Linked DNA regions of Lonchura striata. The protein of the gene in region 1 interacts with the protein of each later gene in a pairwise test. Links are inferred from orthologs where the notes say so. Each region holds a gene or a part of one and is shown in the gene's direction. Other genes may lie near its edges.

Region 1 (9,626 bases):
CCCAAAATCCCACCCTGGGCACCCCTGGAGCACTGTCCAAACTCTCCTGCAGCTCTGGCAGCCTCGGGCTGTGCCCATTCCCTGGGGAGCCTGGGCAGTGCCAGCACCTCTGGGGAAAGAACCTTTCCTGATCTCCAGCCTGACCCTCCCCTGGCACAGCTCCAGCCCTTCCCTGGGTCCCTGGTACCTCAGCCAGGCCAGGCTTTCACTCCATTCATTTTCTTGAGGCTGTGGCTGGTGTTAAAGGCAGCTTTGGAAGGTCAGAGCTCCCTGAGCTCCCTGGACAATGGATTTGAGCACAGCTCAGCTGATACCATCAGCCATCTGATGCTGCTGGAGCAGAAATGGATTTTTAGAGCTTCCAGCCCTGCCAAATCAGGATCTGACTCTTCACCTTGAGGATATGCAAAGATTCCAGGTCAATAAAATGTATTTCAGAAGCCTCACCACCAGGAAAGAGCTTTTGGTGGTAGTCCTGCCTCTGGAACTCTTCCTGCCGGGATGCACACAGCTCCAAATCCCCCTGCCCCTGGCTCCAGCTTTGTGTGCAACACAGCATAGTCCAAGATGCCTCTTGGAATTGGAGCTTTTCAGGACACAGAGCCACATTTCCTTGCTCTGAATCCAATGAAGCCAGCCCTGCACAGAATGCCTCGCTGGCACTGCAGGACAGGAGCTGGCAGCCGGGACTGCCACCCCCTGCCACTGTGGCCTTTGGGCTGAGCAGCTTCCTCCCAGGCTGTGCCCAGGAGGGAAATGTGTGATTTATCTTTAAACTCCTCATCTCAGAGTGCGCTCATGGCACAGCCCAGGGATTTTCATTCTAGGCTACAAATTCAGCTCCTTCCTTCCTTCCTTCCTTCCTTCCTTCCTTCCTTCCTTCCTTCCTTCCTTCCTTCCTTCCTTCCTTCCTTCCTTCCTTCCTTCCTTCCTTCCTTCCTTCCTTCCTTCCTTCCTTCCTTCCTCCCTCCCTCCCTCCCTCCCTCCCTCCCTCGTTTCCTCCCTCGTTTCCTCCCTCGTTTCCTCCCTCGTTTCCTCCCTCGTTTCCTCCCTTGTTTCCTTCCGTCCTTCCTCATTTACTCCCTTTTTTCCTCGTTTCCTCTCTCCCTCACTTCCTTCCTCATTTCCTCCCTTTTTACCTTCCTCTTTTCTTCTCTTTTTTCCTCCCTCTCTCCCTTTTCCCCTTCCTCTTTTCCTCCCTTTCTCCCTTCCTTCCTGGATATTCAAGCAGCAGAGGATCTGTAATAAAATAACTCCTCCCAACCCCCAAATTTCCAGGGAATGCACAGCCAGGAGCGACTCAGAACACAGGAGGAGGGAACCAGCATCTCCTTTATATTTCTGCTGTTGCTCTGTGCAGCAGATTTGTAAGTAATTGCTTTTTAAACTAATTGTGTTGGACTTCAACTGAATCTACCTCGCTGTCTCCATAGGATAAGGTGCTCTCCTCCTCCGTGCAGGTGAGGGACACACCCCTGCTCTGTGCAGGCAGGAATGAGGTGAAGATTTTGGCTTTCTCTCTGTTCACACAGCTACACCACCCTGGAGGAGCGTGTGGAGGCACAGCAATGCCCAAGTGTTGTGTTTATCCACAGATGACTCGGCGCCGTTGCCAAAGGATCCAGATCCGCGTCATTTTTCCTGGCAAGAAGCTCTGGATCCTTTGTGAGCTGTTTCCAATTATTATATTAACTGGGAAAGTAAACAATGCCATGCTATTAGATAGAGCTGGCACAAAGAAATGCTGCTGCTCCCTCTCCAGACTTGGTTATTATTAAGAAATAAAAATATCAGCTTCAAATAGATCCTAATGCGGATTAAATGAACAGCGAGTTCTGTCTCAGCTGGAAAAATATAGCTGTGATTCCAGCTTAGTGGCACATTCGTGGAATCATGGAATGGTTTGGGTTGGGAGGAATCTTGGAGCTCATCCCCTTCCAGCCCCTGCCATGGGCAGGGACACCTGCCCCTGGCCCGGGTTGCTCCAGCCCCGAAATAAATCCCTTCCAATGGAAATGTCTGGAGCACACCGCCCTCATCAATCCAATTGCAGCGTGCTGTGAAACCTCCCAGTTCCTCAAATGTTTGTGCAATACTGTCTCTGGTGCTTGGCTTCTGCTTTACTGCAGGGAAAATGATGCTCTTTTGTGGCTCTCGGTTTTTAGGAATTTTCCCACTCCCTGCTTTTCTCTCTGAGCAGCCTCGAGCTGCCACAAGTTTCAGTTTTCCTTCTTTCCTTGCAGTTTTAATTCCTTTTGTGCTCCTGCCCTCAGGGGTTATTTCAGAGGTAATTCAAGAGCTGCTGTGTTGCCTGTAACTCATTTCTTTGTTGAGCCTGTTGAGCCACTTTCTCCCGAAGTTTACTCCACTGCCAGCCCTTCTGGGGCCGCTGCTGCTGCGTTTAACTCCTGGCTCTGCCTCTCCAGCTGTGACCCCAGGCCACTGGACAGGAGCAGGGGGAAGAGAAATGCTGAGATAAAAGGGAGAGGCATCCACACTTCCCTGCACGCCAAGGGCAGGCAGCTGCAGGGAAAGCTCTGCCAGACACAGGAAACCCAAAATTTCCACCCAAAATGCCAAGGGGGATGTGGATGAGACATCACTGAGTTCTGCCAGCTCCCTGGGATTTGGGGAATTATCTCCTTCTCATGCTGGGAGGTGGAAACACAGCTCGGGGAGCAGTTTGGGGTCCAAGTGGCAGCTCAGCCTGAGGCAGCTGGAAAATGGAATTTCTGGAGCTGCCCTGAGGGGTGGAGGGAGCTGCAGGGTCTGGGGTGGGATTTGACTTCTCCAAAGTGGGATCTTCTCAGCAGGACATGAGAGGGAAAATCTGTGCCCCAGCTGCTGGGTGTGTGTGGCTGTGGGAGAGGAGAATTGGGAACCAGAAAATCAAACAGTGTTTGGATTTTCAGCTTCCACCTGACTCTTTCCCAGCCTTCTGTGCTGGACAATAAAGAGTGTGTGTGACATAAATTCAAAGGTACAAGGTGTAAAAAAAGTCTGGCTTTTGTTCTGAAGGAATATTTGTTGAGAGTATGGATGCAGGATCTTCTGTTACTGCTATTGAGCAAGCCTGGAATCCTCTGATATGTAAATCAAGGTGAATATTTGACCCAAGGTGACTTTAAATTTAAAAGTAAAAGTTCTTGGTATTACCCTTGTAATAAAATTACCCTTTTTTCCCCCAAATAATTGAATTTTATTATTGATTTCTGTGTTACAAGCTCTCAATTGGGCATTAACCTTTTTCAAAGAGTTTAGCTGTGATGTTTTTTTGTCTGTTGAAACCTCTTTAAGATAAATTCAAATTTCAAATGCAAGACTTGACTGATATATTCCAGAATTCCTCTCTTGGTGGCAGTTTTGGTGGCTCAGGCAGAAACTGTTGCTGTGCTGGAGACATGACGTGATGCCTGGGGCTCATTGCATCCCCTTGGGTACAAATCCTTTGATTTTGGGACTCTGGGACATGAATACCCCAGGGCAGGCAGTGAGAGGAGGAGCAGAGAAGAGGAGCTGTTCCCTCCCCAGCCAACTAGATGTTGTATGGACCCAAAGATCAGGTTTGAGGCATCATTTGATCCTCAAATTTCTTAAAAAATAAATGTGTGAGTGTCTTTATGGAGTTTGTCATCTAAATGTAAAGCAAACTCTGCCTGAGCTTTAGGGCACAGGTTGGACTTGATGATCTTAGAGGTCTCTTCCAACCTCATTATTCTGGGATTCTGGGATTCTGTGATCTCTGGGAAGTTACTGGTTTAGCTCCCAGCGTCTGACTCTCTCCCCAGTAAACACAGACCTTTGGAGCTGCTGGTGCTGGCTGCAGGTGGCAGGTGACAAACACCTTCAGGAGGAGCTCTCAGTGTGCAGCTCTGCCTCACTGTTTGCAGCAGCAGCTCATGGAGCACTGGCCAGGACAATGTTTAATTAAAAGCCTCTCTTTGTGACCAGTTACTGGGTTAATAAAAGGTTTCACTCACGTTGTCCTGGCAACAGAAGTTTTTGGGAGGAGCAGAGCTTGGCGGGTAAGTGGCTTTGCCAGACAAGGTGCCAGTGGGGACAGCAGGGATGTGGTGGTGACGAGTCCAGAAATCCTTGGTCTGGCCAAGGAGGGACCAGAGTGGCCAGAAGGACCCTGCTGCAGCTTTCCAGGGGTGCTGGGCAACACCTCTGTGCTCCTCAAGTGCCACCCAGACCCTTTGTGTCACACCAGCCCCAGAGCTGGAGGAACTGTCCAGCCTGGGAATGGGGTGTGGAGCAGGTTCTGTGCCCAGGGCAGCCTGTGCTGTCCTGGGTGCTGGTGCCACCCCTGGGATGCTCTGCTGTGACAGCTCCCAGTGCTCCAGCAGGTCATTAACAAAAGCACAAACACCATCTGAGCACGCCTTGCTGTGCTGTGGGGCTGAGGGACCTGTGCAGCCTCAGCCCTGGCTCTCCACAATGCTCATTAGGTTTGTACAAGCTGCAAGAAGTCATCCTGCTGTACATAATTTTAATTGCCTGCTCCACAATTGCCTGTCAAATATATGCTCTGTCGCGTGGCATGACCTGCCTGCTAAATTGCAACAGGAATAAAAAAAAAAATACTACGGAAAGTAAAAGGGAAAAAAACCTAATTATGAACTAGAATGGCATTCTCAATCTCTATTGCCACCTGCAGCCTGCTGTGGCAGGACAGCACAAACAGATCAATAAAACCCGCAGCTTTTCTTCTGCGCCTTTGGCAGTTGTGAGGAGTTTGTGCGGTGTTTGTGGGAGCGCTCCGGTTCCTCCTCTCCGCTGTGTCTCAGCCTGGAGGTTTCACCGCTCGTTTTCATTGCCAAAATCCAGGGTTGGGACGCCCAACTCCGCGCCCGCAGAGAGGGCAGCAGCGAAAGGGTTAAAAGGAATGCTCTGGGCTGCAGCTTCCCCGCGTCTCGTGCGGAGGGCACGGATCGGAGTTTGGTAGGAGGTTCTTTGCCGGGAGCAGCCTTGGCAGCGAGCAGAGCTGTGATCTCAGAGGCCATGAGGCTCCGGGAGCGCCGGGGGCTGCGGGCTCGGGCTGCGGGCGGCGCCGCGTGTCCCGGCGGGCGCTGCCGCGGCCGCGCGTGGGACCGGAGCGAAGCCGCTCCCGTGCCGAGCGCCGAGCCCAGCCTCTCCTCCCACTGAGACTTTCCCAAAGAGCGGAGGCAGCGGAGGATGCGCGGGGGGCCATGAGCGCTCCCAGGGAGGATGGCCGCTGTCGCAGGGCCATCAGCATCCTCACCGAGCTGTGCCAGAAGAAAAGCCTGCCCGGCTTGGACCTGGACACCTGCAGGGAGTTCCTCCTGCTGCCTTCTGACCAGAGCCTGATTATCTCCGAGCCAGGTACGGCCCCTGCTCCCGTCTGCCGGAGGATGCTCGTGGAAGGCAGGAGGGGCATCCGTGCCCTACAGGGGAGGAAAAGGTTTGGGAGACCCGTGTTAGACCCTCTGGGAGGGTTCCTTCCCTTCCCACATGTTCCACGGTGAAGTTTTGGGTCAAGTCCTGCCTCACCTGTTGATGGCTGCACGGGGGGACAGCCAGGATAAAGTTCCTGAGATAAAGTTCCTGTGAAAGATCCTTTTCCAAAAACACAGACTCCTGTCCTGTATGAAACAAGAGCAAACCAACAAAAAGCAGTAGAGAGCCTGCTTGAGCCGCTGGGATGGCAGGAACTGATTGGTGTTGGAGAAATGGAGGGAATCACACGGACTGCGTGGATTTCTGTTCATCAGGAAGGGACCTTGGTGTACTTCCATGTGTGTGTTCTACCTTCCCTAAGGATTGCCTGAGTTGTTCCTGGTCGGGCTGTAGAGCCAGGGAGGGACTCTGGTGTGTCAGGGATGAGTCAGGAGCAGGAATTCTGCTCCAGGAGCAAAGGGACAGCTCCGTGTTGCAAAGTGGGGAATTTTCCCAACACCTATTCTCCCAGCTGCTCACTCCAGAGAGATCTCCTGCTGCCACTTCAGATGACATTGGCAGGGGCAGTTGGAACCCAGGCTCATGTGCTGAGGAGCAACACCCCAAATCTCACAGCTTTTAGAATTGTTAGTAACCTGCTCAAAGTTGTTTGTTTGTGTATTCCAACATTTTCATAGAGGGTTTCTTCTAAGGTTCCTAAGTTTCCTCTAAGGCAAGGATCTGTGGAATTCCAGCGTTTTTACACCATGAATTTTCACAAACTCTCCTCCTCTGCTGAGCACACTGTGCAGAGCCCCCGTGCGGCACAGCTGCCCATCAATCCCTGTCCAGGGCTTTCTGTGTCACCTTCCCTCCCTCTCTCCTTCCCCTCTCTGCCAGGATCTCATGCTGGGATGCAGCTGGCACCCCCAGGGCACAGGGCACCAGGATTCTGCCAGCCCTTGGTTTGCAGTGGTGCTTCCAGCACGGCTTTGCTGATAGCTCCAGGCAAACACCCTCCCTCCACATCCCACTTTGCCTGTAACTTAATTCTCTTCTTCAAATGAGTTTGTTTTAAAGCTGCCTGTTCTGGAGGCCTCTTACCATGGCCGGTTGTGTCCTTACACATCACATCCCATGCAGCTATTGCAAATAGAGCAAACAGCTTGCAAACTTATTGCATCGATTTGGAATTCTTTACCTTGCACCAAAATGAACATTTTCCTGAGTCTGCAGCAGAAATACTCCTCACTGCTCTTGTTCTGTATAGATATGACAGGTCTGCATTTGTTTGCACAGCCTGTCCAGGACCTCATGTTCATGTCGGGATCACATCATCATCATCATCATCATCATCATCATCATCATCATCATCAGCCTTTAGCACAGGGAATGTCTGTGTGCTCTGAGCTGTGGTCAGCCCCAGTGCCCCGGGCGAGCTGTGCTGGGCTGGCTGCACGAGCAGCCAGGGCTGTTGTCTCTGCTCTGCATGACTGGGCCCATTTTTATGTCTAGACAGCACAGAGGACACAGTTTGGGCCTGACATGTACTAATATTTCTCAGTTCCTGCCTGTAAAGCTGCTCCAGCAAGGGGAAAAAATCTGTTTGCATCAAGTGTTTACTACCACAGTCACAGAGGTACGATGCCTTCCCCATCAGCGTCTGGATGTTGATTTAATTATCTGCACTGATGCTTTGTCCATTTTATCCCGAGGTCTCACGTGGAGCAGATTTGCTGTGGTCTGGCTGCAGTCCTGTGTTCAGAGCCATCCTCACAAAGCAGGCAGGGGGAAGGTGGGGCTGTGTGGAGGTGAGCAGATGGCAGCAGGCAGGTGCTGTGTCAGGAGCAGGGCAGAGGAGCCCTGCCCTGCTGGAGTGTCCCTGTGCGGGCAGCACAGCCCCGGCAGCCAAACGCCAAATTTGCTGGAGTCAAACTGGCCTCATTTGTCATCATCATGTGGAGTCTCCGGCTTCTCGGGCAGTTTGTTGCCTCCTGGATAAATCTATTTAGTACTGGCTGGATCAGCTTGGCTTGTGGAGTGTCCTGCTGGAGTTCAGGTTGAAGGAAGCACTGCCAAAGGTGCTCCTGCACAGCTCAGCACAGGGGCAGCTTGGTCTTTTCTGCTGTTTCATGCGTGGATGGGGAGCAGTATCCTCAGGGAATGTGTGGAGCCAGGTATCATCACCCTTCCTGAACTGCATCCAAGAGTGGAAAAAACCTGTGAATATAACAATACTACTGTATAGTTTATGTAAGAGTAAGTTTCTGTGCGGTGTTAATTTTTTTTTTCAACCATTCTGGACTGAGTGGCTGAAAGGGCTGCTGTGGATGGAGTGGATGCACCTCTACTCCCTGGTTATGTAACAGCTGAATCTCCTCCTCACAGCCAAGAAGAGCAGCCGAGCTGCAGCATTTCTCTGTGCACACCCAGCAGAGGAGGACTGCAGGCTGCTGCCTCGCCCGCAGCCAAACCAGTCAGAAAAATCAGGAGTTTGGCTGGGGAAGGGAGGTTTTGGTGCCGCTGTCAGGGGGGCTGTGAGGGGGAGCTGTGCCTGTGGCGGTGCCAGGAATAGAACTGATCTCCTGGCTGGCCCGAGATGGAGCGAGCTGCAGCATCCTTTTGTCGTGCCTGTCGCCAGTCCTCCCCTGGAGCTGCCTCCATCTGATCCCTCTGCTCCCTGCCAGGCCTCAGCTGCCGGGCAGGGATGCTGGCAGTGCCACCCGGGCTCTGGGGACAGCACTGGCCACAGGTGATGGCCTTTGAGAGGATGGACTCATCCCTTCTGTGCCCTGGAGGGGCAGTGAGAGCTCTGGGGTGTCACTGAGAGGGTTTGAGGTGCAGCTGTGCTGAAGGTGAAGTGTTTGGCTGTGGGGCAGGGGAGTCAGCACCCCCCAGGACCGTGGGGACAGTGATGTGTCCCCTGTGCTTGTCCCCTCTGCCCGTGGGAGTGGAGCTGCAGCAGGCTCTGGGCTCTGGGACACGGGGTGCTGGGCAGCCCAGGAGCTGGGCTTCATGTCCTGCTGGGGGGGTTCTGGGGTTCCCCTGGGCTGGGTGCTGCTCCCCGTGGTTCACAGAGCCTGGCCAAGGACAGAGGCTGCCAGCCTGTCCCAGGAGATCCTGGGGGAGACAGGGGAAGCTTGGCTGGTTCTGAAATGATCCTGCAGGGCTGATGAGAGTTACTAAATAGAGTGAGTTTGATGGGATATTGGGAAGGAATTCTGTCCTGGGAGGGTGGGGAGGCCCTGGCAGAGGGTGCCCAGAGCAGCTGTGGCTGTCCCTGGATCCCTGGAAGTGTCCAAGGCCAGGCTGGCTGAGGCTTGGAGCAGCCTGGGGCAATGGAATGTGTCCCTGCCATGGCAGGGATGGCACTGGATGATCTTCAAGCTCCTTCCCACCCAAAACCAGTCTGGGATTCCATGATTCTGTGACTAGAACCAGGATCTGGTGTTGTTAATTTAAAGGATGGTGCCTGGGTACAGGGAGGAATTTATCCTGGGATCAGAGCACATCCAGGAGAAAACCTCTGGGTTTGATTTTTACCTTCAGCACTTCTGTGCTGAGGCTTTCTTTAAACAACCTAAGTTGTTTTTTTTTTTTTTGCCTGAGTGATCCCTTTGTACAAAGCTTTGCTGCCCAGTGGAGCCAGGGCAGGAGGCAGAGGCTGATGTGCAGAGGGGCTGCAGGTTGTCCCCAGCAGACCCTGCTCATCTCGGCGTGGTGAGACCCCTCCTCAACCCCTCCCTCACGTGCTGATCCATCCCAACAAAATGCTCCTGTGCCTTCCTGCTGCAGGAGGAGAGAGCTGGAGAGAGAGGAGGGAACAGGAGAGCGGGGAAGGCACAGAGTCAGAGACCTCCTGATATTCTCTGCTCCCTGGCACATGGTGTCAGCTCACCTGTGTTCCAACCCCCAATAATTCAGAGCACATTTACTGCTTTGCCCCTTGTGTGAACTGCACTTTTTGAAGGTCCTGGTGCAGGCAGCACAGCTTGTACAGCGCTGAACACCCTCCTGGCACTTGGCAAAGACCATTAAAATGTTAACCCGAGCACAGAAGTGTTCTTGCTGCAGGCAGAAAAAAGGGGAGAATTTCTGGGCAATTTTTCATCGCAGTAATGTTGGTGCAGAAAGATCATTTTTTTTATTGAGAAATTGGTCCTGGAGTATTTTCTAGGAAAAAAAACCCCACCTATCTTCTGATAGATTACTGAGAACTGATGACA
Region 2 (10,103 bases), on another chromosome or scaffold:
GCCCTGTGTGCTGGCCCCATGCAATTCCTTTGAAGCTTTCATTCCTGGCTCAGCAGTCCCTTCAAATATATTTCTAAGCATTTGCTGTACTGAGTGGTTTCATTTGGCTTCTGTTGCAAGGAGCATATAAACCTCCCTCCTCTGTTGGGCAGAACTTTGTGCTGCAGTTTGGCTGAGCCCTGTTCCAGTCCTCCTCCCTGGATCTGGAAGAGAAGTAGAGGGAAAAAAAGCCATCTAAAGAACAACTTTATCCAAGACCTTTGCAAAGTCAGCTATTAGTATAGGTCAGCAGTGCTTTCAGCTGCTTGTTCAAGCCCAGTTAAAACATAAAATGAGCTGCCTTTTTAATAGCAGTTTCTGAGGAATGAGTTTTTTTTCCCAGCAGAGTTTTCCTAACATGTCAGCTAAGGTTCAGCTGCCATCTCTTTGCCCTGAAGCTCTGAAAACCTCTCAAGTTTTTGTCTTTTTGCTGAGTGTTGGAGGGATTGTCTGACTGGAGGAATCTCCTTTAGGAATTTAATCAGTCTGCATTTGTCAGTGGCATCCCAGTTGTTTTTCACCTAATTGTCTCTTGCTTCCCGAATCTGTTTCCTCAATTTCTGTTTCTTCTGGAAACACTTTCTCTTTCCTGTGCATGGTAGTGATGCTCACTCACACAGTGTATTTGTTGAGCATTTCCAGCATCTCCTAGGTGTCAGTTGTTACCCAATTACATTTCATTCTCTTTGCAGCTCCAGAAGTTTATCCAGTGGCTGGAGGAGGCAGAGGAGGAGTCGTCTGATGGCGACCAAGACTGACATGGTGGCTCAGCATGAGAAGAGGCTCTCACTGCCTTTCTGGGCCAAGTGGGCAGGGCAAGATCAATGCCAGTGCATGGTGTATAGATGTGGGGTCTGACATCAAAGTGACTGACAATCCCATCATTAATTCAGTTGTGTGTTCCCAACTTTGCCACTTTCCTCCCTCCCTCCCTCCCTCATTTGCACCTTGTGTTGCAACCCAGTATAAAAACTATAAGGGAAAAGCAGGAGGCAGTGATACCTAAAATCCCTCTGGAGCCTGGATATGATGTACTATAAGCTATCTTTTGGGAGGTTCTTGTTACTAATACAAAGGGAGAGAGTAGATGCAAATGCATACAATGCCCCTTTAGATCTAACCATCAGGGTTGTGGAAGAATGGTCATACAGCTAAGGTTTTTGGAGTCATTGTTGCTTCTGGAGCTAAAGGAACTCCTGCTGAAGAGACACCGGCAAGGTTGGTGTGTAAGAGCATGTGGATTAGGATCTGGAGTGAAGGACTAGAATTCAGGAGTTCTCATGCCTAAAGAAGATGCAGCTGTCTGAGGATGCCCAAGGCATTTTGCAGCCTAGAAGGCACTTCTGTGATCTTTCCAAAAGGGAAAATCTCTTGCCATCTGCCATGCTAGGATCTAACACAAATTGCACAGTGGAGTTGGTAAAACCATGTGTTTCCTGTGCTATAAAACTAGGGATGATGTTTTGCTCAGCTTCCCCACAGGGTTGGTTGATGGTGGATGGCTCTACGGATCACCATATCCTGCATGTGATCATTCTTCTGTGCCCCCAGCTTAGCAGACATGTTTTAGAGAAGTGTCTGTTTCTTATTTTTTTTAAGAAAAGGGTGCAGAGGTGCCTGGCTTCTCCTGCTGCACCAACTACACTTGTTTTGCCCTGGGGGCATTGACTGCACCAGCTGCTTTGAGGAGAATGCAAGTTACTAAGTTCTGCTCCAGTGTGAAAAGGAGCGAATGGTATTTCCTTCAGCAGCACGTCTGTGTATCCACATGATTTCAGTTACATAAGCTTGCTTACTTCATGGCCGTTTATTTATTTGAAAACTTCCCTCAGACAGCAGGAAAAGTGCTGCAAACCCACTGTGAGGCTCTGCAGCCACAGAACAGCTTGGCAGGCAGCAGGGAATAAGTGTGCCTCTGGCTCAGACAATGTGTGGCAGCAGCAAGGCCTTTAAGAGCAGCTAACTTGGAAGTGTCACTGTGCTGCATTCTGCCCTGCTCTCGAACAGGGTGAAAAGGGTACCGCAGCCATCAGCTTGTGTTCATGGGTGGGGTATTGGATCTGCTGACCTAGCCTCTGCCCCTTCAGGAGGAGCACGGAATAAATCCTTTGCAGGAGGAATTGCACTGGAGCTGCCCACTCAGGATATTTACTTGGCCGTTCCGTGGTGCCACAACTGTCAGTGAGGGGACAGCATTGGATGCTGGAGACCAGGGATACTGCCTCTAAAAAGCTGATGTTCAGGCAGGGCCATCTTGTGCACTCACACTATCAGTTGCCAGGACTGTGCATAAATGTCCTTGTTTTCTGACATTGCAAACTCAGTCTTGTAAATGTTGGGGAAATTGTTGGTATCTGAATTTTCTGTATCTGCCAATATTTAATTCAGGGAGCAAATAAAAACTATCCTGGTGTTACCAGCTTGTTTGCTTTTTTTTACTTGAAATTGTATGTCTCCAGTTTTACATGCCTGAGCAGGGCTTCATGTGTAAGTTAAATAACTCATCACTTGTTTTTCCTCAGATTTTAAGCACACAATAGCCAGGTAGGAAATCGGCACAGCATTTCATGAGTGAAAGTGTTTGATGGTAACTCATGAGCCCTGTTTGCAACTAGTGAGAACAATTCATTAAAATGTCTGAACTTGGAATCCTGAAGTGGGTGAGGTTTGGTTTTGTACAGAATTATGTTGCAAAGATGAACCTTAAATCCAAGGAAATCTCTTATCATTTGTCATTATGGGAATTGATGGGAATGTTGGCTGATACATCATGCATTGTGTCCTCCTGATGCTGGGAAATAAGAACCGGTAGAGAGGCAGGGAACTGGCAGAAGCAGCTACAAAGCCCTTAGTCAAACCATTTACAAACCAGCTGCAAGACTTAGTAATTTTAAAATCTCCTTGGAAGTCTCAAATATTTTTTTTTCCTTTTACAGAGTAAATATGGCTTAAGAATAAATTTAACGTGTAGTGCTGTAAATGGCTCAGTTTTGCCAGAAGTTCTTGATTATTTCTGCCAAGTAACAATTCCACTTTTGTTTTTTCCACATTCCTTCCTCCTTTGCTCCAACTTTGTGGTATGAGCTGCTTTTTACCTGAGAGTTAAAATCCAAGGGGAGAATGTTGCTTTATGGCCACATCCTTCAGGCACTGGTGGTGTGTGTAGTGGGGTAGTTTTACAGATGCCAAGAATAGAGTAGCAAAAAGAAAACTAATTAGAACACTTGATACTCTCCAAGGTGGAGTTCTGGCATGGTGAAGCATCCTTATGTACTGATACGTGCTGTACTTTTTAAAGGAGCATTTATTCCATTGCTGAAGTGTAGGGTGGGCTTGATGCTTTGTTGTTGCTTCAGTCAAGATGGTTCTTTGGTTAGAAGACTAGAAATGCCTTTGAGAGCAATCTTGAATGTGGAATCATTGCTACCCATCTCTGAGAAATGCAAGCAATTAAGTACTTTATTTTCCTAAGACTATAATAATCAACTTGTCTGCCTTCCCATCTGACAGGGAGGGGTGGATGGATGGATGGATGGAAGGAAGGAAGGAAGGAACCTGGTGTTCCTTTATCAAACCTACAACTTCAGTTAACAATAGTAACCCTTTTAAAAGAAGATAATAATTTGGATTTGCTTAAAGGTGTAAGTGATGGAACTCAAGTACATCCGCCTCTGCTTTGGGCTGTTCCAAGATGCACTAAAATGTCTGAAGCCTGTACTCTGTAAGGAGAAGCAATGTTATCGATGCTACAATTTTTAAGTTGCAATAATTGCAAAAATAAGCCAACAGGCAGTTCAGAAACTTCCTTGTGGACCTTGGAGTGCACAGCACAATCCCCTCCTGCTAATTTCTTTGGCACTGTGTTCTTAACTTCCATTCAGTGAGTCATACAGCACAAGGCCTCTGTGAGCAGTGAAACTGATCTATCATTGAGGCTATTCAGTCACTTGGCCTGTTTTAAAAGAAAAGGCAGCTGTAGCAATGAGATTTCATCTACTACTACCCTGGGGGTGTGGCACCCCTCCCCTGAGCTGCATGTGCTCCCTTGGGAGCTCGGCAGTACCAAAAATTGCCCTTTTGGTAACAAATGTGTCTGATGTGTACAATACAGGCTCCAAGGTGCACCCATGGCTGTGCTGCGAGGTGGATGAGACCTGGCAGTGGCCCTGCCAGGTACACACTAGGATTCTCTCATATGTGCCTGCTTTTGGGGCACGGAGGTGTTGCAAAAGGACTTTAAGATTAGCTCTGTCAGAGTTGACACAGGAAGAAGCAATTCAAACTAAACTTTTCCATTCCTGACCTGGATTCTTCATTCCAGGTACACCAGCTTTTACTACAGAGCTCTGGGCATAAGGAAATTACAATCTTCCAAGAGCTGATGTGGAAACATCAGAGTCTCAGACCTCTTACAACTTCTGTTTACCTGAGGACTTCCCTTGAATTTTTATTCTTTTTTCAGTTTAATGTCAGGTTCTTCCCCCAGTCTAGCAGTGCTGCCCAGGTAATTACTAGCAATGCCTGCAGGACTCTTTAATGCATTAGAAGGCTTATTTAGCTCTGCCTGCCTGAGGAACTTGGCTCTGTTCCCTGTAGGATCTCTCTGGCTCCTTTTCCTACGGCAGGGGAGTCTAGTCTGAGGGCTGATCTAGTCTCATGCCCTGTCTCATGCCCTGTGCAGGCCCGTGGTGTGGTGCTTCCTCTGCATGTTCCTTCTAATCCAGGATGGTGCAAGGCGGTTCTTGCCCTTCCTGTTGGTGGGTGTTCCCAAAACTCCATCCACCCCAGTTTTGCTCTTAGCCACAACTCTGGGAAACTGCTGATGGAGATGGTTCCTTGGTGCCTGCTGGGTGCTGGCAAGGTGTGCAGGGTGGAAACCAGACAACCTGAGACTGATGTGGAACAGAGGCAAGTCCTGGGGGCTGGGGTCACAGTGCTGATGATTATAGGTAAGAATTTGCTGGGGTCTGGGGAGACAGGATGGGAAGAAACCACACAGCCAAAGGGTGCCCAGTTGAAGAAGCCATGGTATATGGAAGAGAGGATTCTCATGAAGAGCAGAGGAAAGAGTCTGCTTGGTAAGGAAAAGGTCTGGGCACTGGGGTTAGTTGTTGGATGGTGACAAGGGGTTCAGAGGGAAGCCCTAGCTGGAGAGGAGCTCTGGGGTGTGTGGTAGTCTCTGTGTGTGGTGGCCATCTGAGACAGTATGGAGAATTCAAAGGGGTCTGTACCTGGGAGGATGGTGTAGAGATGGATATGCCTCATGTTTTGTAAGCTGTACTCATGGGGCACATAGCTGTAGAGGAGCATGGGGAAGGCTGAGAGGTGTGTGATAAAGGACCAGAGCTGCAGAGATAGAAGGGGAGGCCTGGGGTGTGGACAGAATCGGAGGTCGCGGGACACAGGAATGACCCTGTGTGTGAGGCACCATCAGAGCGTGTAAAGGGGGTGTGAAAGCTGAATGAGGGTGGGGAGCCTAGGAGAGGTGTATTCCCAGCTGGCACTGGGAATGTGGGTGCACGGGGAGTACCAGGCTGCGGATAGGAAGATGTGGATGTAAAGTATAAATGCCAACGCACCCAGGGGTGATGGGGCTGGAGGTGGGCAGTCCCGGGGCCGTGCACCCTCACGGGGCACGGCAGCACCGGGGCTGGATGGGTGTGTAGGGGCTCCGTCCCAGCGGCGGGGATCCGGCTCGGGGGCAGCGGGCGGGCCGGCACGGTGGCGGGCTCTGGGCCCCAACTCGCGGGCTGCCCGCTGAGCCCGGTGCCGTCCGCGCTGCTCCCGGGGCCGCTCCCGCGCCGCGGCCCCGCGGGGCGCCGGTTCCGGTTCCGGCGGGGCCGGGACGGCGGGCGGGGCGGGGCCGGCCGGGCCGAGCCTGCGCCGTGCAGCCGGGCGGCGCTGGGACCGGAGAACAAGGGGCGCGGGGGGACCGGGCGTGCGGAGGCCGCAGCCGGGCCGGGGCACGGGCGGGGGCCGGGCCGGGACCGGGGGTCCGGGCCGGGGCGGCGGAGGCGGCGGAGGCAGAGGCGGGGGCCTGGCGGCCGGGCAGGGCGCCATGGCGGCGGCCGAGACGAAGATCATTTACCACCTGGACGAGCAGGAGACGCCGTACCTGGTGAAGCTGCCGATCCCGGCCGAGCGCGTCACCCTCGGCGACTTCAAGGGGCTCCTCAACCGCCCCAACTACAAGTTCTACTTCAAGTCCATGGACGACGACTTCGGGTGAGCGCGGGCCCGGGCCCGGTCCCCCGGGGCCACGCGTGGAGCCCGGGCCCCGCGGGCCTCCCCGGGGAGCAGTGCGGGTGGCCGGGGAGCTCCCGCCCTCGCGGGGCCGGGCTGGGGCTGGCTGCCCCTCGGCCCCGGCAGCGCCCCGGGACGGCGGGGCCGGGACCCCCGGGATGGGGAGGCGCCGCTCGTGCCCGGCGCGGGGCCGGTGATCCCGATCCATCTTCCATCCCCGTTGCCTTTCCTTGGCGAGGATGGGGATGGTGACCCCCTTGGGCTCTCTCTGGAGGGACGCGCCCTCCGTGCACCCCAGGACCTCACCTGTGGGAGGCTGGAGGTGATACCCCCGTGCACATTCTCTGGGGTTCGTTGTCCCTGGGTGCTGCCTCCGGGGACAGCCGCACATCCTCGGATCCCGCATCTGCTCTGGGGAAGCTGCGCCATGCCAGCTCCTCAGTGAGGGAGCTGGTGATACCCTGCTTCAGGTGCCAGAGGCACCTTGGAGAAGACCATCATCCCCATCTGAGGGTCACTCCCTCCCGTACTCAGGATGTTTGGCCAACACCTTGCCTGAGGTGGTCTCACCCATGCAGCCCACACTGGGGTGTCGGGGATGGCATCCCCAGGTTATATCCTGCTCAGGACTGTCACTCCCCACCAAAAGGGCCTGGGCATCTCCCACTGTGCCTGCCTAGGGAAAGTGCCCCTTGCTCCCTCCTCCAGAAGGGTGAGCCACCTCCATCAGCCCTTTCCATGGAATGGAGTTGGGGACAGTTTTGTTTTCCTACCATCCATTTTGGGGAGGGACATCCATTTTGTCAGCTTTGTCCTCTGCGTCTAATTTTTGGGAAGAATGTGTAGAGAAGGCCAGCTTTGTCCTCCCCTACCTCCATGAAGAAGGAGTGAGAGCTCTCCATGTGCTGCCCATCTCTGAGCAGGAGGTGTATACAAGACTCACTGTACCCATGTACATGTCCCAGTCTCAAAGTGAGATGTCCCGTGCTCCATCTCTGGTATAGAAGAGGGGTGCAGCCCTGTCTTATATCCCATCTCCTGCAGGGCAACTCTCTTCCAACAGTGGTGTTTCCATCACTTCTTTTGTGATGCCCTTTGGTTCCTCCCATCGCAGGTGACTCATTGGAGGTGAGGAGGTATATTCTGTCTCTTGTTTGGATGTTGTACTTGCTTATCTTCTGGGCAGCCCCTGCTGTCTCCTACCTGCATAAAGTTGGTTAACGTTCTGGGGAGCAAATACCATGGGAAGCCAGCTCCCTGTAAGACCCTCTGTCCTCACTCTGTTTTGTCCAGATTTCCTACATCTGACTTTCCTTTAGCCACTCTTTTTCCATCCTGGGATTCTCTTGGTTTCTACAACATGTGACTCTTTACCATTTCTAGCACTTTGATGTTTGAAGGAGTGGTGTGATACTTCCTCCTCTGAAGATCTGGTGTTTAGAGTAGGTCTTATGCATGGAGCTGGGATTGCAAAGTGTTTTCAGTTTTATATTCTTCCCAGTGTCTTCTCACTGCACCAGATACCTCTCTGGGCTGTGATTTTGGCTTGTACCCCATGTTGAACAGGGCTTGGCCTGTTTGGGACTTGGATGAGATCTGTGTGGCTGCCTCAGCAGGGGGTGCTCTCCCCTCCTCAGCCAAATTATCCCCGTGCCCAGGTTCCCGTTAGTTTGGGAGGTGCCAGCTTTCAGATGAGGCTTGAAATTTGGAGTCACTCCTTTGACCGCAGTCTGAAACGCTTTGCTTCCCTAAATTCCTCCTGACCCAGTGGAGAGCTTTAGTTCTCAGAAGCTTCTCCATTCTCTCCTGGCAAATAGAAGTCTCCAGCCTTCATTTTCCATAAATTTCCTCAGCAATATCAGTTGTCTGTGGATCGTTTCCTGTCCCTCAGCTGTTTTATAGCGTTGGGTGCTATGAAACAGCTGCCTCTCCCTGTCTCGGAGGGGACCATGTTCATTGGGGGGAGAAGTGACTTCTCTGTGCATGCTGTTTGTAAACAAATGCTTTGGGATCCTTTGAAATGTTGTTCTTGAAGTGAATTCAAACTTGTCTTGAATGAAACATTGCCATGTGGGTGGGAGAGTGTGCAACTATAAACAAAGTTTAGTAATAAATAGCAGCGTCTTGCATTGGGAAGAGGGGTCTGGTGGCAGTGAAGTTTTGTGCTGTGTTTTTTCATCCTCCTCTATCTCTTTAAGGTTCTACAAGAGGAGCTAGATGATAGATTAACAAAACTCAACAGTAAAGCAGCATAGGGAGTTATAGTGGGTGATAGCAGGGAGAGGGGAAAGTCACTCAGGAAGACACCACAAGATCAGTTGCGTCAGAAATGTATGGATGAGATTTTTGTTGTGACCAGCCCAGCTAATTTCTTTGGGAAGCGTAAACCACTCTGGAAGGGAAGGCACAGCTGACAGGGGGTCAGGGCTGTGTGTAGGCAGCCTGTTCCTTGGGGAAGTCCTGGGCAATATAACTTGAGCAGTTGGAGCAGTGTGTGCAAGGCCTGGGGTGTGAGAGAGAGAGCAAGCCTTTGTCACCATGGATGCTTCATCAGGAAAGCTGTCTCTGCTGCTTTCCAGAGAGCTGAAGAATGTGCTGGTGGTTGGCTGGAACATGGTGGGAACAAGCAGAGCAGTCCAGCTGCAGCCTTGTCTCTGAGAAGCCCTGAAGCCCTGGGCAGCACACAAAGTTTCATGATCCCTGGTAATTGATGTCCATGAGAAAGTGAGCCATTGGCCTGCAGGGAGAATCAGAGACAGAAGGGCAGGAGGCACCTTGGCTGCTTGACTGCAAATGCATGGGCAATTAGTGAAAACTAGACTGGAGGTTAACAATGGTGGCATTCAGAAGCTGTGTGACAGGGAAAAGCATTTCTCTCTCACACATATATTCCTCTCAGCTCCTTCCCTGAGGGGATTCCCTCAGGGTGCCTTCTGTCTGGCTTGTGCTGGGCTGGTGTCTGTCAGCTGGGCAGTGTCCAGGAGTAGGACCCAGGTTAAAGCCCCCTCAATGAGAGAAGAAGTAGATGGCCTTAGGGCAGCTGATAAATGAGGAGGAGGCCTGCAGCTCCCATGGTTCTGATTTGGACCTTCTGCTGGATCCCTGTGGCATAAACCAAACTTTTCTTCTCATCTTATTAGGAACACAGACATCTCACCTTCCAGAGCCAGCTGGAGTAGAATCTCCAATGTTTCCTCTCACCTCTGTAGCCCAGTCTGAATCTTTCTCACTCTTCCTCCTTTTTTCCAGGCTGTGGATCTCCAGTCTGGTATTCCCTTCAGCTAACCCCATCCCCAAAGCAGTATTACAGCCTCAGTCTTGGTGTGTGGGATTTTTCATTCTTTTGTTTATCTTGTTAATATTTGTTTGCTCTGAGAATCAGAGTTGTGATGGAGCAGCTTCAGTGTTTACATCTCCTTGGAAATGTGAACTGAGGTTCCCCTGGGTGGCTGTGGAGTTGTCGGGCTATGGCAGGAGTTAGTGCTCAGCTTCAAATAATTAAGACCCCAGAGTGGTGTCACTTCTGGGTGGCAAAGAGAAGAAATGAGAAGAATTCCTGCACCTGGTCCTGGGGAGAGGAGTTGTGAGCAGCAGGAAGGCTGCAGGGTTTTGTTTCCTGATGCAGTGGGCTGCAGCTGTCCATAACAGGGTGCAGATATTTGTGCCCTTGTTGGCTTTGTGTGGTGCTTATCCCAGAAATGGAGGTACATGAAGGTTGGCTGATGGATGGTGTGAGTGTGGCAGTGCATGGATGTAGTAGACTCCTCTTGGACCTGAGATGCTCTGACCATGAAGCGTGGAACTACCCTTGGCTGCTAACA
Region 3 (9,631 bases), on another chromosome or scaffold:
ATCTGAGGAAAGGTTAAAGTAGCTTTTTTTCCCCTCAGTAACTACATGTTTAAGCTCCATTTGAGTTCCTTTTTCATTGAGGTTGCTGAAAGAATAGACAGCACCAGTACATACACAGAGGCCTATGTCTCGTTCCTGGCCTTGTGACAGAATTTAGACAGTAAAACACTTAGAATCAGATTGCTTCACAAGAAAGAATGAATTGAATTTTTGCAGGTATCAAATATCTAAGAGCTTTAAAGAGCTAGCATCTGATAACAAATGATTCCTGCAGGAGTCTGGTGTTGATTTATTCCAAAATATGTGTCTACCTGCAGTCATTGGCATCAAGCTGCTTCTTGAAAATACCAGGATATAGCATATGACGCCAAATAATTTTTTACCATTTTTTTGTCCAAGGTGCTTCCAGAGAGGTATCTCCTCATGTGCAGTTAAAAAAAAAAAAAAAAAAAAAAAAAAAGCCAGGACCAAAATAAATTCAGACAGAATGCAAACACATTGTGTAAAGAAATATCTGAAAGTAAGGCACATTTTTTGAGACACTGATGCAGAATTTTCTTTTTACCTCTCAGAAAACTTCTATAATGACCACCATAATTTAATAGTAAATTCTGAAGTGCTTCCAGCCACATCTGCTGTTTCCATGCAGTGCCTTGAACAGGGTGGAATAGGACAGCACCTCAACTTGTAACATAAAATTTATCCCAATTTCCAGGTTCAAAGATAGTGGCTTCTCTGGAGAGAGTCTGGGCATGTCATGCTTTGATCCCTCAATAAGTTCAGAGGAAAAGCGGTAAAAGGCAAGGAAACATTTTGTTCAATAGCCAAGTCCACCTTATTCCCATTGTATTGCAAAATCTACTCCACCCCATTTCAAAGCAGACATTTCAGTCTACTCCACCCCATTTCTGCACTTTCAAGTGCACAGACTCTGATTTAATCCTGGAACAGACTCATGCACCTATCATGAGAGATATATAAATGCAAAGCTTACAATAGTGCTCTCACTACACTATAATGTCATATGTGTTCAGATATAAATATAATAGAATTTTAAAAAAATATGAATCAGGAGAAACATACAGATAATCCGTATTCCAAAATTCTAAATTTTGGTCACTGCATGGTTTTTTATGATTGAGCCAATATCCAGCAAAATTAGATTTAGTGTTCTTGCTTCTTATGAAATTACACAGAGGCTGCTGCTTTATTCCTCTCCAGGACAGTAAAAAGCAATAAAATTCTTGCAGATTTCGACAGCAGGCAATTCAATAAAAGGCTATGTATATTTTATAAGTACAATAAAAACAAGTCTATAGCTGGATCATAAATGGAGGTTTGTTTGGTTGGTTTGTTTTCTGCACACAATCAATGTTGGGGTCTATTTTCAGCACAGGATGGTCTTCTTAGCACACAGCCGTCCCGTTTTGGGGAGAAGCAGAATGAAATTTATATTTTTATAATGTATTACTTAAGCTTTGCTCAAGGGATTTTGCAATGTGTGTCTGTTTAAAATTTAAAGGTGTTGTGGAACTGAATACTTTCCTATTCTTGATGAGTGCTATAAAATTTTACAATTCTTTTTGTTACACTTTAAAGTGTATCTGTCTTATCATTGTGGCATTCCCTTTTTTATGAGCAAACAATAAATATTTGATATGCACAAAATTATTTCCTAGACTTCCGTCAATGCTCACTGGTTTTTTAATTCTTCAATAATATAATGGGGCGATTAATAGATTGCTGTATTTCTGAGCAGTAGTATTACAATGCATTTAGTGACAGTGTCTGTCTGCTGAAATAGAAAATTTTATACAAATGTAAAACCGAAACTAACAACATACAAATGACCCACCCTACATAATTACAGCTGTATCAATTTTTTCTTCTCTCTTAGAGAAAGAAATTTTAAAACTCTGAAGAAGCTGATTAAAGAAAAAAATACCCTCCCGATTTGTCTCTGAGACAAGTTCTCCAGCACTAAAAATCAGTGCGAGGTTTATCTGAGCAGGGTCTGTGGTGTCGAACCTCAAGTTTTCTGGAGAAGAAAACTTTTCTATGTAACTACACAGAATCCACAAGTACCAATTTGCCCTTCTGAGTAGTTTGGTAGTTAAAGTCTGACTCATACAGCAAAGTATAGCCAGTGTTATATTACTAGATGTACCAAGAATACAAAGTTTCAGAAATATATTAACATTATAGGACAGAACTAAAGACTTTTTTCATCATCAGAGTGAAGATAAAGCACTGTCGTCCTCATAAAACTGTATAATCTTGCCATGCAAGAATTATAGAGACCTTTTGTTTACAAACACAAGGTGATGCAGACCATCTCCATCTCAAAATCCAAACAAGTATGCTTTGGAGAGACACCTGTGTCAGCCTATCAAATGTCAAGATTCCCTTCCAGCTCACTTATTAAAACACAGTATTTCTTGCTATAACAGAAAAGGTATGAAACCCACTGCCTTAAAAATAAATTATTTAAATGAAACACAGCAGGGAGTAGAGAGGAGTCAAAAAACATACTATAATAAGAAAAGGATTCAAGGGAGGAAAAATATAGTCTCTAAGCTTAGCTGAATGATCATTCATGAATTTGACCCAAACTTCCAAACCTCAGCAAAAAGTAAAACATACAAATACTAGTTAATGCTGTTTCCATTTGCTTCCTTTGTAAAACATAAATTTTGATTTAACAAACTACTCTTGACTCTGCAGCCCTGCTCCTGCAGTCAGTGTTATCACATGAAGACTGCAGAACTGATCACATGAAGGAAATCCAAAATGCTTTTCATGCCACACTCCTGTTTAATTATAACTGGTAATGTGGCAGATCTTAATTTTAAAAACATGATTTTTTTCCCTGAAGAAAATGCTGGAAAGAAGAAAAATATAGCAAAAGTAGCTGTTAATTCCCCAAATCCTGAAAAGTAAGCCTTTACAGGAGCTCACAGCACAAAAGTTTCAATGCTAATTTGAAAGTGCTCTCTATCTCTTAGCCATATAAATTTTTTTTTTTGTATTTCAAATAATAATAACTATTATTATTATTATCTGACTCACACCACAATGCCCTTCTCCCGCCTATTCCATCTACTAAGTGTGCTGCAGCCAGCTGCCATGTCTTGTATCCCTTTTTCCACAAATATTTGTGCAGGAACATCCTTTGTTTATTCATTACTCAGCCCTGTGGGATCTTGGCTCTTAACGGGGACTGCCAGTGCTAATTCAATATAAATTCTGAGCCAATATAATATTCCAAATCTTGCACTGACAGCGTTATGAAAAAGAGCAAGTTTGTATCTATTCTGTAAACTTGAAGAAAATTCAAGACTTCATGACTGACAAAGGATCAGGTGGGATAGAAGACAATGCTTTATTATTAATCCTGTTTAAGATAGATACTGTATCACATAAATGCAAAAATCCATCTTAGCAAAGAATTTAGGTACTTCCAAGATTATGAGAGAGAAAATGAGGGTTTGGTTTGTAATTCTCCACCATGATCTCAGAATTCTGCTCCATAGTTCAGAGCTGTACCAGATGATTCCCCTTGCAGTTGTCTTCTGTTAGGCACAGCAGAGACAGAGGCCATTTCAGTGAGAGGAGGGGAGAGGAGTCTGGCAGGTGAAGAATCATCAGCACCATTTTAGCAGAGAAGGTACAGGAGCTTTCAAGACTCTCACTGAGATCCCAGTTTGCAGTATGAACTTGACATTAGTTGGGATATCTTCAAAACTGAGATACGCTGTTGTGGGCTTCCTACTGGGAAGTAGGAAGCTATGTGCTGTCATAGCCAGAGGATGAAACTTGCCGAGTCAGGTATAAGCTGTGTGTGTTTTTTGACTCTATACAGAAATCTCTCATTCAAAAAGTGGAGTATATGGTTTCTTTCCTATCCAAATGCTTAGGAAAGCTACCTGGCTGACCAAGCAAGATGCAGAGTTAATAGTTTGGTTGTTTAGAGAGAATATCCACAATACCCCCCTACAAAAGTGGTTTGTGCAATCAGTTGTGGTGAAAGTCAGATGACCCTTGTGAACAGCTTCCCCACCAGCAGGGAATACTTAATTCCCTACAACCTGGAGCAACTGAAGCCTTGCTCTTGTCTCCTGAACATGCAACAAGGGCTGCGCTGTTTATGCCACTGGGGCTAGAGCTGAGTTCTCTTCTGTTGTGAGTTGATTTTACATCTACTCAATAAATCATTGTTCACTTTTTGTAACACTTTGCACTTCTAACTATGAAACCACAATGTTCTCCACACAGGCCAAAATATATGCTTTGGTTGGCTGCGTGCTATTTCATCTCTCAAAACTTCCTTGCCCTACTGCTTATCATTCTTAGGTAGTGCTTTATTTGGTCATGTACTCTCATAAAGCCTATAGAGACAACTACACAATTGTGTTATGTTAAACATCATCCTTCTATTTTCCCATTTCTGTATTACAGTTTTTATTAGGATTCCAGTCCTATTAATGTAGGAAGGATATGTACTTAATATGAGAATGTGCACTATCAGACTTGGCAAGAGACCAAATTTTGTTCAGATGTATCACTTGCTAAAGCAGGGATGGTTTCTATCTAAAAATCCTTCAGCTCCCATGGAACAGCTTGCTCTCCTTCCTGCCCCAGGGTTTAGCACGTTCTCTTGCTCCAGTTCAGCCACAGGAAATCTCTATGGCTTTTACTCAGGTGAGATTTTCAGGGGCACGAGCTGAGAGTCGGGACAGCTCCGCTACAAAACCTCATGCTCCGGTTCAGAGCTTTGCCGAGGCTGTTGCCACTGCCCATGTGTGCGCAGGGCCGTGCCCAGGTGTGCCCAGGTGTGCCCAGGTGTGCCCAGGTGCGCCCAGGTGTGACACAGAGACATCCCGGGCTGCATCGGCGGCTCTCAACCAACCGGGAGGGCCGGTCTAGTTGAAGTCTTTGTGATGCATTTAAAAACTGAAACATTCTCATCTGTTTTCTTTAAAAAACATTAAAGTCTAAGCATAACTAATACTAATTTTTTTGTCAATTTATTTTCCGCAGAAAGGGGTGGGTTTCGGGCCGGGCCGGCAGGGCTGGCCCGGGGGGGAGTGGCGCCCCCTGCGGGCCGCAGGGGGGCGGGACAGCTGTGCGCGGCTCGGGCTCCGGCGCGGGTGTGCTGGGTGCGGGCCTTGGAGCGGCTGGACTGCAGGACAAGCCCCGTGCCCCAGCACATCAGGATCTGTGCGGGGGACAGCGGGCTCCAGATGTACTGTCTGGTGGCGCCCCCCCGGCAGTGCTCACAGTAGCGCTGGGTAGCAGCTGCAAGGGGCAGCAGGCGCAAAGGGAGGGGACAGGACAGGACGAAACGGGACGGGACGGGACGGGACAGCTCGGCCCAGGGGGTTTGGGATGCAAATCGTTCCTGCTGAGCGCTCCGATGAAACAGCTCCGCTCCCACGCGGTGCCAGCAGGGGGCGCCGCCGCCGCCCCGGTGGAGCGCCCTGCGGGCGGGAGCGGGGGGGGCAGGGGGGGCGCGGCCGGCGCGCGTCACGTGACAGGGACGCGGAAGTGCCTGCAGGAAGGGGGGGCCGCTGCTTCCGGTGTGGACCGGGGCGGGCGCGGGCAGGGCCGGGGCCGGGGCCGGGGCCGCACCGACAGCGGCCCGCTATGAGAGAGGCGCCGCGAGCCGCAGGTGAGGCGCTGCCGCTCGTGCTGCCGCCGGGCCCGGCCCGCGGGCCCGCGCCGGGGCGCGGCGGGCGCGAGGCCTTCCCGCGGGCGCAGGCCCGGGCCCCGCGCTCCACGGGCCGGGCCGGGGTCCCGGGGGCCGAGCACCGGGCCCGCTCCAGCTGAGCCTGCCGGCCGCGGGAGACGCCGGGGCTGTCGGTTCCCGGCTGCAGTTATCCCCGGCATGCCAGGAGGCCGAGAGATCGCGGTCCGCAGGCCGCGCCGGGGACGGGAGGGACTCCTTGCGAGCCATGCTAGAGCTCACGGCATTTTAAAGCAGCCTAAATGTGGCTTATATCTTTTGCTCAAGGCTTTAGCGTGCAGATTGTTTTTCTAATTGTTATTAATTGAAGTAGAAAGACTTTGTTCTTTTATGAGTTTGGAGTAAAAGTACAGAACAAAACAGATTGTAGAAGGAGGCAGTGAAATCCCTTTTGAAAACTGGTTTGCTTGAATTCTGTGGCTTTGCTAATTGAAAATATTTTACTTACATTTTATCGGCATGACGACTTAAAATACAAAAAAGTCTCCTGTCATCTGGAAATGTTTTTGTGGTGACATGCTGACTCCCTGCTGAAAGATGGCACTTTAGATTATCAGTAATTGTATATAAATTCTATAGACATCTGTCTTTAAACTTCAGTTGAATGTCTTCTGAAGGCTTGTTTTTATTGTAGGCATATATTGAAAAATAGAATCTTAAATCTGAGAATATTCTGAAGGGAGGTAAGGAACTGCGTCTGTATAAGAAAATCCGATTGTTTCAAAAAGTGGATGTAATACACACAAGGTATAAGATTATTTGAAATACTTTAATAGTTATGTCAAATTGTTTTAAGCAAAGTGGTAAGAAAAACTAATAATTGAACTGGTGCAGTATTCCGTTGCTCCCTGGAAAAGTATTGGTAACTGATTCAGTTCTGAAGAGGGTTGGTGGAAAAGAACCTGAGGAGTGCTGAAGACAGTAAATTTAAAGGTGGTCTTCTGTAATTATATGAGTGGCAACTTCATGGAACTTGACTATGGAAAGCACTTGCTGCTCCATGGCTCTTCAGATTCCCACAGCACTCAATTTACACATTATCAAATAGAAAAATTGCACAAGTTAAACTTAACTCAAGCAGTTAATGTTGGTTTTTCATAGTGGCATTTAAATTTCTGACATTTTTAATTACAACAGCATGCAAATTTTTCTCAAATTCAATTTAAAATTTCAAGTATGCATTTGAAAAAGCTGTATTACTGCTAAAAGGGCTGTTAACCTTTTTGTAAGACATCTGGATTGTGTGAAAATACAGATGTGAAAATCTGGGAGCTCTTAGCTGAGATTCTGTCATGTAATTGTTACGTTGTTACAAATGCATGAGGAGCAAGCAGGAAAAGTTCTGTGCAGCAAAGGCATCAACTCTGTCTGATTTCCCCAAAAGGAACATCCTAACCCAAATATAATAAGCTTGGAATTAAAAATTGTACAAGTTGTTGTTATTCCACCTTTCACTTAGTGAAACATTAGGGAAATACATGAGAAGGATCATAAGCCTTATTCTTAGTGGGGTTCTGCCTGTGCTTCCAGCGTCATCCTGTGAGTTGATACAGTTGCTTTTGAGAAATTGATCTGAAGTGAAATATTTCATGAGTAAAATTAGTGTTTGTTGGGAGATAAATGAGATGATTTTGCTAGCATTTGAAATACAAAATCTTTAATATGTTTGTATAAACTGTGAAACATCCTGGAGTTAGAACTCTACCATATAATTCCATGAAAAAACGGTTTCATTAGCCTAAACTCGTGTTTGAAATGCTTAGTCTATCCCAATTGCATAACTTACTGTTGGTAGCTCCTGCTGTAGTTCATGAGTCCTCTTGAAGAGAAGAAACACAGCAAAATATGCTGGCATAGCAATTTATGGCCTTAGTACAGCTTTCAGAAGAGAGAAATGAGGTGGCTTGAGAGAAATACAACAGTGGCAAAAGGTTGAGTTCCATGTGAGTCTGTTAAGAAAAAAAGAAAAAAACTTAGAAGAAAATGGAATGGTCAATACTTGACCAAGCAGAGTTTCTAATTTTATTTCTTATTTTTATTTCATATTTTTTTCCTGCAGCACAACACTAAATTTGTAATGAAATGGAGTCTGGGTCAAGCTCCTTTCGAGTGGAATTTCCAGATTTTTCTAGCACCATTTTGCAGAAGTTAAACCAACAGCGCCAGCAAGGACAATTATGTGATGTGTCCATTGTGGTTCAAGGCCATCTCTTCAGAGCCCATAAAGCTGTTCTTGCAGCTAGTTCACCTTACTTCTGTGATCAGGTTCTCCTGAAAAACAGTAGGCGAATAGTCCTGCCTGATGTGATGAATCCCAGAGTATTTGAAAACATTCTTCTGTCTACCTATACAGGCCGGCTGGTAATGCCTGCGCCAGAAATTGTTAGTTATTTGACAGCAGCAAGTTTCCTTCAGATGTGGCATGTAGTGGATAAGTGCACTGAAGTGCTTGAGGGAAACCCAACAGTTCTGTGTCAGAAGATGAATCATGGCAGTGACCATCAGTCCCCAAGCAGTAGTAGCTACAATGGCCTTGTTGAAACTTTTGAACTTGGCTCTGGAGGACAGACAGAATTCCACAAAGTGCAGGAACTAAGGGATGGTGAAAATGAAGAAGAGAGTTCTAAAGATGAACTGTCGTGCCAGCTGACAGAACATGAGTATCTTCCCAGTAATTCTTCAACAGAACACGATAGACTTAGCACTGGAATGACCAGTCAGGATGGGGAAGAGGGAACTAGTGATAGTGCAGAGTACCAGTATACCAGACCAATGTATAGCAAACCCAGCATCATGTCTCACAAGCGGTGGATCCATGTGAAACCAGAAAGGTTTGAGCAAGACTGTGAAGGCGTTGATAATCCTTATGATGAACACCAAGTTTCTGAATCCATGAATACCATCCAGGCAGATCACTCAATCCAGTCTTCAGGTGTTGAAGATTTTCACATAGGTGACAAAAAGATGGAAGCAGAATTTGATGAACAGGCAGATGAAGGTAATTATGATGAACAAGTTGACTTCTATGGGTCGTCTATGGAAGAATTTTCTGGTGAAAGGGCAGATGGAAATTTGACTGCTCACAGACAGGATCTTATGATGGCAGCGGGCTATGGTGAAAGCATTGATATGGCTGCTGGGATTAAAGAAGAAACGTCTCTTACTGGATTCTCCCATGCTGATAAGCTCTATCCTTGTCAGTGTGGAAAAAGCTTTACACACAAAAGTCAGAGAGATCGGCATATGAGTATGCACCTTGGTCTTCGACCTTATGGCTGTGGTGTCTGTGGTAAGAAATTCAAAATGAAACACCATCTTGTAGGCCATATGAAAATTCATACAGGCATAAAACCGTATGAGTGTAACATCTGTGGGAAAAGATTTATGTGGCGGGACAGTTTTCATCGGCATGTGACCTCCTGTACCAAGTCCTATCAGGCTTCTAAAGCTGAGCAAAGTACTACTGAGATGAACTGAGACATTAGTGCTTACATTTGTTTAATAGAGTAAGAAAAATAAACTAAATATGCAAATAATGTCTGGTACTTGCTAGTGTACACTCTCAAAAAAAAAAGTTTTTATAAGTATGCTGGTATGAACAGATCAAATGTGTTTTGCTTCCTGCAATATTACTTCAGGTGTTTATTGTGGGAAGTGCATGTGGTTAATCTGAAAGGTGCCTGCAAAATGAGGTCTGAGATTGATTGTAACCACAGCAGTATTTAGAAGCCTTCTTGTATTTCCAAGTAATCTGAATTCACAGTAAAACTCTAAATTGACAAAAATCCTGAAAATACTTAGATTAATGAGAAATTTAGGTAGTTACTCCTTAATGGAAAAGAAAACTAAGATGACCAAACTGGAGTATATGATTCACATTTAAAT

Evidence for each region.
Region 2: the proteins of SYT6 (region 1) and DVL3 interact in binary tests that used the Homo sapiens proteins (3 or more experiments, as listed by UniProt). The two-hybrid records come from large-scale screens. The link is inferred for Lonchura striata from reciprocal best matches to the Homo sapiens genes SYT6 and DVL3.
Region 3: the proteins of SYT6 (region 1) and ZBTB43 interact in binary tests that used the Homo sapiens proteins (3 or more experiments, as listed by UniProt). The two-hybrid records come from large-scale screens. The link is inferred for Lonchura striata from reciprocal best matches to the Homo sapiens genes SYT6 and ZBTB43.

What each region holds. Positions count from the first base shown.
Region 1 is NC_134632.1:2,059,566-2,069,191, forward strand, and holds the start of SYT6 (synaptotagmin-6), read left to right. Parts: upstream 1-4,938; 5' UTR 4,939-5,192; coding exon 5,193-5,346; intron 5,347-9,626.
Region 2 is NC_134612.1:18,724,067-18,734,169, forward strand, and holds the start of DVL3 (segment polarity protein dishevelled homolog DVL-3), read left to right. Parts: upstream 1-6,034; 5' UTR 6,035-6,097; coding exon 6,098-6,264; intron 6,265-10,103. Other genes in the region: EIF2B5 (translation initiation factor eIF2B subunit epsilon), read left to right, coding at 732-797. UniProt on the Homo sapiens protein: Involved in the signal transduction pathway mediated by multiple Wnt genes.
Region 3 is NC_134624.1:11,323,097-11,332,727, forward strand, and holds the start of ZBTB43 (zinc finger and BTB domain-containing protein 43), read left to right. Parts: upstream 1-5,562; 5' UTR 5,563-5,671; intron 5,672-7,805; 5' UTR 7,806-7,828; coding exon 7,829-9,223; 3' UTR 9,224-9,631. UniProt on the Homo sapiens protein: May be involved in transcriptional regulation.